Linked DNA regions of Saccharomyces cerevisiae S288C. The protein of the gene in region 2 interacts with the protein of the main gene of each other region in a pairwise test. Each region holds a gene or a part of one and is shown on either strand. Other genes may lie near its edges. The genes, in order: RMD6 and RDS1.

Region 1 (3,721 bases), on a different chromosome or scaffold from region 2:
AGGCAACTATATTTTCAGCATTATATTTTACTTTTCCTTTATTTTTTATAAAGTGTCCAGATGGCACCTATTATACAAGCGCAAAATGACATTTGAAAATGTGTGTTAAAATCGCAATTGATCAACTTTAAGGATGATAGAATAAATTGCGTAATTCGTGAACTATAGAAAAGCTTTTTTATTTTGATTTTAGTGAAGGTAAGAAAACATCGATGCTTTATTTCTCTAAGCGCTCTCCAAACTAAGGGGGTTGTAGGAGAATAATAACGTATAGATGAATCACGCTTGATTTGATGGACAATCCCAAAACCATTTGAGATAACTGTAAAGGTTTATATCATAAAACTTTTATAGATGCTACTGCTATAAGTAGTGCAATTTGAATGTTTTTTTTTTTTTTTTTGATGTTACTATGCCGCCAATTATATAATAAATGCAGGAAAATCAACTATATAAATATTGCTAACATGACTTTTATTCGAAAAAAATAAATAAATATAGTGTTTATATTTAGGATTCCTATTCTGTATCCATCTGGAACCTTCAACATTGTAAATAGTGAATATTTATACGCACTTTTTTTTTGGTAGTAAGCACGGTTAGTTATAATTGCAGGAAAACAAGGAACCCACTTCTTTTTACTGTTTATATCAATATGTTGCTCAGCAGAACCTACAGTTTATTCAAATAGAGTGTGTACGGGACTATACCACTACAATCTATGATTTCCCAACTCTTTAATCATTTTGATCACATGAAAGTCTTTGGTAAAGTCAACTTTATCGTCAAATACCTTTACTTGGTGCTGTTCTTTGAGAACTTTGAACCTTTGCACCTCTACAAAGCCAAGCTTCTTTTCATAGTAACCCAATAGGTCATGCTCCATGATAATATCTGCAACCACTCTTTTACACTTATGAGACCGCATCATATGAATTACACTGTAATTGAATAGTTTTATACCATAACCATTACCCATGGATGTAAAACCTGTGATCTCATAACTCTCCTTATTATTTGGTTTGTAGCCGATGGTTGCTAGGGTATGTTCTGAATCGAATGCCTCTGTCAAAAACTGGACCTTCGGAATATAATATGTCGGTAGAGATAAATCTTTGTTTGTTTCACCTTTAAGCTGTTCAAAATGTTCATGGAAATTAGGGTATGCTAAGGTAGGATCATTTAATAATAAGTAAAGCGAGGATTTCTCTATATTCTTGTCAAAGCCCAGATCACTGAATAAAGTCTCAAGGCTGTGCACTCGAGGGCTAACTATGATGCCATATTTGAGTCTTGGGACATCATATCCTCGATTAATTGTTGTATACAAGCTATACTTAGTATCTTTAGATGAATTCTTCAAAATCTCGACTGGGAGTATAACGATGTTGCAAGGGCAAGCTGACATTAGTTTTGTTGTGCAAAGGGCATGATAGACTCTCGATATCTTCAAATAAGTCTTTCTCAATAATTTATGTAGAACCTTACGTTTTCAATCACGACCAAGAGTAAGGTGTATTATATCCATACTGTTTTGTGCATATATTCTTTTTTTGATTTCTTATCTGAAGGAAAAACAAGATCTTCAAAAGTAAAGTTATTGATCCCATATTGGTAACCAGATAAAAGAAAAAGGCAATATCACGTGCTTTTACAAATATTATTTCCAATTGGATTTCTGAGAGGTATGGGTGTCATTTCCTTAACGTTATTATAAACTAGCCAGAATGAATGTACAAGCGGGAGAGTAGCGTCGTGTGATACTATAAAACTCTGAGTGAGGGTACCGTCAAGATTCAACCATAGTGTGCAAGAAGTGTTCATCTTCACCACAGGGGTCATTTGAGCATACAATCCTCCAATGTCGGTAACAGACGCAGTTGCGGTTAAAGTCGTAGATGATTGCCCTATGCGCTAACAAGATATTCTTCAATAGGAGCATCTAAATTATTCTCTCTGAAAAACGAACAATAATCAACACTGGAATTGTAACCATTTTTACCCGGATGGGCGATCATTTCATTATTAACTAAAGTAGCTTTTCCAATACGCCTTGACTTTGTGGGGCAAAGATATTATGCTTTTATCATGCGAGAGATCTTAGGTGCCGCAAAAAAAGATTTTGCTGGCGTGCGCATATAAGACTGTTTTTCGTCCCTGCATTGAGATCGCATCTGTCCCTGAGTAAACGATGCACAGAATATTCAGGCTGTGATTCTACTAACTGAACATTGAGTTAGCACTTATATATTATAGGCGTAAACTATCTCACCAAACTTGCTACAATCTTCTAGAATTGATATTGTATTCAACTTTTTTAATGTATCCAACTGAATGTACTTGATAACCTTCGTTGCATTGACGGCTAGATTCTTTAACCTAGCTGCCGCCTCGGCCAATAATAGTTCCTTCCCTGATATTGACCTTACTAGTTTTTTGAGACACTTCACCAATATTCCAGCAGGACTTTAGTCAGGACCGCTCCAGCCCATATATCGCGCGCCTCCGGCAGAGAGTTAATTAGTGTGTACGATCTTAGTTCCAATGGTGAAAATAGCCCTCAAAACCTTTGCTTTCTCTCACCTAGCTTCGGAGGTCAGTATATTATATGTAAAAAATGCTAAATATACCTGCACTTGAATATGGTAAAAGTGGCGTTACGGATAATGCATTACTCAAGGGAAGTATACAATGCTAACCCCAAATATCAGACTTCATAACAGATTCAACTTTTCAGGAACCAAGAATGATAATTGACGTACTTTGCCTATTATTAAATTTTAATAGTGTCTAAATTTCACTAAAAGATTCATAAATGATCAATTGCAGTTTCCTCCGTAAGAACAAACGGATAACAGACTATGGTGAATAAGGAGCACAAGAGTTTTAAAGGTAGTGCCTCACACGCGCTGAATGTAAGCAAGGTCAATATAGCTGCTGACCTGAAAATGAGATAGCAAATGTAACATTGAATTTATCAACTAAGAGACAGTATAACATAAGTGAAATCAAGATACCCGGCCTCAAATCAAATAAAAGTACAATCCCCTCTTGATTAAAGAACAAGTATAATATTGCTTGATAGTGTATGGTTTAAAATTTTCTATCTTTCTACCGAACACCTTCTGGACCATTGTTGTTCCTTATTAAGAATTCTCAAGTTACAGTATTAAAAAGGCAATATATATTTAGTTCTAAAATGCGCTACTAAGTGCTGGGTAGTCTGATTATGGGATCACTTTATTCATATAGTATACAATATTCAGAGAGGCATTGACTTAGCTACCAAAAAAGTATTGAATCGTTTAATGGCTATGAGAATACTTTTAGAAATGGCATTTTCCTGTTCTGGTGCATGATGCTGGAATAATGATGCTAAGTTTCTTCTAAATGACTGTGACTAGGCGATTACCAAATAATATAATACAATTCCTTCCCTGCTCGTGAAGAGAGAAATTCTATGCCACACTAAATGCATCGCGATAGACATCCAAGATGAAGTCAACCTAGGACTTGGCCCCCCAAATTACGGAAATCGAATCAAATGCAGGCTCTATCTTTTATTACAACTGAAGAATATGGTTTTTGAGGATGTATAATGAATTCGAAATAGTATGATATGAGTCTGAATGAGTATTATCAGTAAATGATGAAGATGTATTTTACTGAATGCTTCTTGGCAGTTCCGGTTAACAAAAAAAACTTAGTATGCAAAGTTCGT
Region 2 (4,622 bases):
CGGCAGTTTCAGAAAGAAATCGGAGGCGTCCTAACTTGCTAGATGAGTCGGACGCGGACCCAATCATTTTAAGCACGATGGATATGCTTCTTCTAGATGATCGAAAGAGTAATTGAATTTTTTCAAGTCATCATCGAAACCAGCAAAAGATTACGATATTATCCTTCTATTTACCGCAAAGTGTGTTGTTGTTATTATATGCATATTTGAGTATCGTGATCCCTTTTTTTAATCTATTTTATGCATGTAGGACATCTCGGCCGAGCGCAATAGAGGAACGGCCGAGATACTTATTTATACGCACCGCACCTATTACATTCCGCCTGCCTAACCATGCTCATTTTTTCAAATTGACGAGCAGGTTAAAAGAAACACTGCGAAATGTGAGGAATCTTTCCGTCTTGTCGAGTCTTAAAACAGTGGAAAAAACGTGGAGGATAACAGTGTTTCTTGTTTTTGGCTTGTTTTTTTTTTTTTAGCCTTTCCAAATATCCGTATTCTCACAAAGAAGGCATATCGCTCAGATTTTCACCTAATAAATCCCAGAAGGCATCAAAATTGTTGTTTTCCAATAGTTGATTTAAAGCCTCTTCTTCGCTGATATTGAAAAATTCTTCAGCCGTGTTTTGGGACATAGCGGTATTGGCTTTTATTGCGAAGGAACTGGAGAGAACTGCATCCTCCATCTGGCACAACAGAACTTGATTGAAACTCTGCAAACTCTGGCTGCTTATTAACTTTTGTTTGATTCTTCTCGAATTATTGCAGTCCAATCCCCATTTCAATCTCACGGCTTGTTGTACTTTTGGCGGTATTTCACCATCACTGGAAATCTTATCCCAAAACCCATTTGTCACAGATACTAAGCCGCCAACATCGATCAAATACACAACGTATCTAAACATGGGAACAGTTTGGTAAGCACCAAAGTAACTATCTTGAAGTTTTCCCTTTGCTAGATCCACTAAATGTGCCATTTGGTTACGAATGTGTTTAATAAGTCTTTCTAAAATGACAATCATTTCATCTTCTTTTTCATTATCGTTAGTGGATATACTGGAAGAGGCCAATTTTTTCTGACTTTCTTGCTTGTATGAAAACCTTAACAAAATACGACATTGGAACATCCAGATCCTTACAAGCATAAAACATATTTGTTTATCTATGATATAACCGCGACTCTCTAAAATGTTCCCTTGAAACTTATTCTCGAGATAATCAGATATCAACCCTGCTAGCTTTAAGTATGCATTGAAACTTTTCAAAGTAAGGAAATGATAGTTCTTTTCATATTCTTCCCAGTGCATAACACATTTTTTTTCAAAATGTAACGATAGGACATCAAAAATGTTTAAAAAACACATACTTCCCACAATATTTGTAAGAAATATTTCAGTTTTTTGAATATCCATGACATCGAGAACCGTACTTTTGCCAACTTTGATCGCATTTGGTTCCTTTTCATGAAGGGGTTGGTAAATCGAACTTGTAGGAAAGTTCTCAGCCATAAAATCTTCAGATCTTTTAATATTTCCTAAAATGTGGAAAAGCTGCGGATGTTGTATAACTGAAGTGCAATCAGACATTAGTTTACTCAAAATGACGTGAAATTTGTACTTATTCCAAACAATATCATTCATTTGCACGTTCGATTCACTCGCAGAACTTTTTTCATACTCTGAGGAAGCTTCAATATATTCTTCGAAGTCTGTTAAATATGCCTCCATATATTCACTATTTGATTTACCAGCATCACCTTCAGCAAGAGAAATTTGAAAAAGTAATGACTGAACTCCTAACCATAATATCCGTCTCTGCCTTATCACTTCTGGATCTTTGAAACGTTTGTACTTCGAAGGCTCATATTGAAGACCTAAGGTCATGGACAAATTTAAAAGATGGTGCAGAGTAAGCAAGTTAGTGGGGCTCAGTACACAATCGGGACTCTCGGGATCTAAATGCTCTGAAACGTAGAAATATAAAAGGCAAGTAAAAGTGTTCTCATTTGGATAGCGAAATACATCCAGGAGGCATAATAGTTTATGACATAAAAGAGAAAGTTTCCTGGCACTTTCGGAGGCATTTTCTTTTACCATTGAAAGAAGATTTGCATCCAATTTTGAATGCATCAAGGCCATGGCCATTACTATTGTAAGTAATGACAAAGTTTCTATTTTTTTGCGCACATTTTTAACTTCAGTACTAATTTTCCAACGATTATTGTCGTCTTGTAAAAGCAAACTAGTGAGATCGCTCTCAAAGAGTGAAATGTCCATAAAAGGATAGAAGGGATAAATATTTTGATAGAAACACCTCAAAAGTATTTCACAGTCTTTTTTTTGCATCAACACGTCTTCCACTTCAGCGATGAGTGACGGTAGAAGAGTCGAGAAGTTTTCTTCTTCCATTGAAAATGCATTGTATAATAACCCTAAGGCGGCAGACTGAACTCGAAATTGCTTACTATGTTCTATCCGTCTAAAAATGGCCTTTTCTATGAATGACAATGGTCCTAGTATACTTCTTGATGTGTCTTCACAAGGAATACCATTAGCATAATTGCTAAAGTCAACAAGCGCCATGCCGTACAACGAAGCACAAAGTGCCCTGATATACTGGTCATGTTGCGCCAGACTATGCGCAGCAAAAGGATAATCCAGAAATGTAACTAATCCTACTATAACTAGCATATCTTCGGCGTTCCATATCGACAGCGTAGCATTAACGACACCTTCAGGCACTTGTAAGGAATATCTAAGCCCAGTCCTTTCAAGTACAGGTTGCTGTTCGAAATTGAGCTTATGAGAGGAATTGAATCCATCAGAGTCGTTTGCTGCAACATTGGCAGATAAATCTGTTCTCTCTTCATATTCACACTGTAATGAATTTTGTTGGCATCGCGAGCAAGCAGGCCGCAGTTTATCACATTTCCGTTTGATCTTTTTGCATTGCAGGCAAACCAATCTTAACCGAGGTTTTTTTACTGTAATCGAATCCATCAGAGCATTTCAGCAGCCAATTTCATGTTCATTTGTTTATCTACCGCTTACATTAATAAAGTATTAATGAGTAACATTATTAGTAATGATGTCAAAATTTCGTTCTCAATGACTTGTAATAATGAGTGTAATAGTGATCTGCACGGGTCTTGAGTAGAAAATCTACCGAATGCAAAAATGTGAAGAATACACGCTACTATGTAAATCTTTATTTTTCAACTCATTTCAAACCATTGAACCATCCTCTTAGATAGCACAGTATATTAATATAGGCATTCTTTGTAAAAATTTGCGCTCTTCTCTTTTAAAATTGAAGTGCTTTAAGAGGACCTCATCAGACATGCTCGGACTCTAGATTTCGAAGTAAAAGCATGATTAACACTCTACCTTTCGGACGAAAATTGCATTAATGTACCTACTTAATGGGTATTCAGTTTTCAGATTTAATAGTTTGGCTTCGATACATATGAGTAGGCTAAGTATTAAGTTAAATCGCAGAACAAATGTAGACGTACTCGACATGAATGGGTAAAACCCTGCACACATTTCGTATTGAATAAAACTTACTGCTCTGCACTGTTGTCGAGAGATTCTAAATTTTCATCAAAATTTCCCTTAAGTTTAAGAAATATCCTATTCAAGAAATGAATGTCCCTATATATAGGTCATGTGACTACCGAAGAATTGGTTTAAGGTATACATACAATGCAAACCACTTTTCTCTTGTTATGTAATGGGTCATGATAAATTCCGAGATTTGACATGCATTTTAAGAGATTCTGAAAAATATTACGTATATAGACTATTTATGGAATTTCTTATCATAATCGACCAAAGTAAATCTGTATTTGACGTCTCCGCTTTCCATCCTTGTAAAGGCATGGCTGACGCCTTCTTCGCTGATCGGAAGTTTTTCCACCCATATTTTGACATTCTTTTCGGAAACTAATTTCAATAGTTGTTCGATTTCCTTCCTAGATCCGATAGCACTGCTTGAGATTGATACTCCCATTAGGCCCAACGGTTTTAAAACAAGCTTTTCATTAACTTCAGGAGCAGCAATTGAAACGATGGAGCCTCCAATCTTCATAATCTTAACGATACTGTCAAAATTAACTTTCGACAAAGATGATGAGCAAACGACAAGAAGGTCCAAAGCGTTAGAGTATTGTTCTGTCCAGCCTTTATCCTCCAACATAGCAATATAGTGATCAGCACCGAGTTTCATAGAATCCTCCCGCTTGGAGTGGCCTCGCGAAAACGCATAAACCTCGGCTCCCATAGCTTTAGCCAACAGAATCCCCATATGCCCAATACCACCGATGCCAACAATACCTACCCTCTTACCTGGACCACAGCCATTTCTTAGTAGTGGAGAGAAAACTGTAATACCACCACACAATAATGGAGCGGCTAGCGGACTTGGAATATTTTCTGGTATTTGAATAGCAAAGTGTTCATGAAGCCTCACGTGGGAGGCAAAGCCTCCTTGTGAAATGTAGCCGTCCTTGTAAGGAGTCCACATAGTCAAAACGTGGTCATTGGTACAGTATTGCTCGTTGTCACTTTTGCAACGTTCACACTCAAAACACGCCAAGGCTTGGGCACCAACACCAACACGGT

Evidence for each region.
Region 1: the proteins of RDS1 (region 2) and RMD6 interact in a two-hybrid assay, tested with the Saccharomyces cerevisiae proteins (one large-scale study listed by BioGRID).

Annotation. Positions count from the first base shown.
Region 1 is NC_001137.3:11,407-15,127, reverse strand, and holds RMD6 (Rmd6p), read right to left. Parts: upstream 1,409-3,721; coding exon 713-1,408; downstream 1-712. UniProt on the Saccharomyces cerevisiae protein: Required for sporulation. Required for meiotic nuclear division.
Region 2 is NC_001135.5:309,335-313,956, reverse strand, and holds RDS1 (Rds1p), read right to left. Parts: upstream 3,000-4,622; coding exon 501-2,999; downstream 1-500. Other genes in the region: AAD3 (putative aryl-alcohol dehydrogenase), read right to left, coding at 1-67; ADH7 (NADP-dependent alcohol dehydrogenase), read right to left, coding at 3,802-4,622. UniProt on the Saccharomyces cerevisiae protein: Zinc cluster transcription factor involved in resistance to cycloheximide.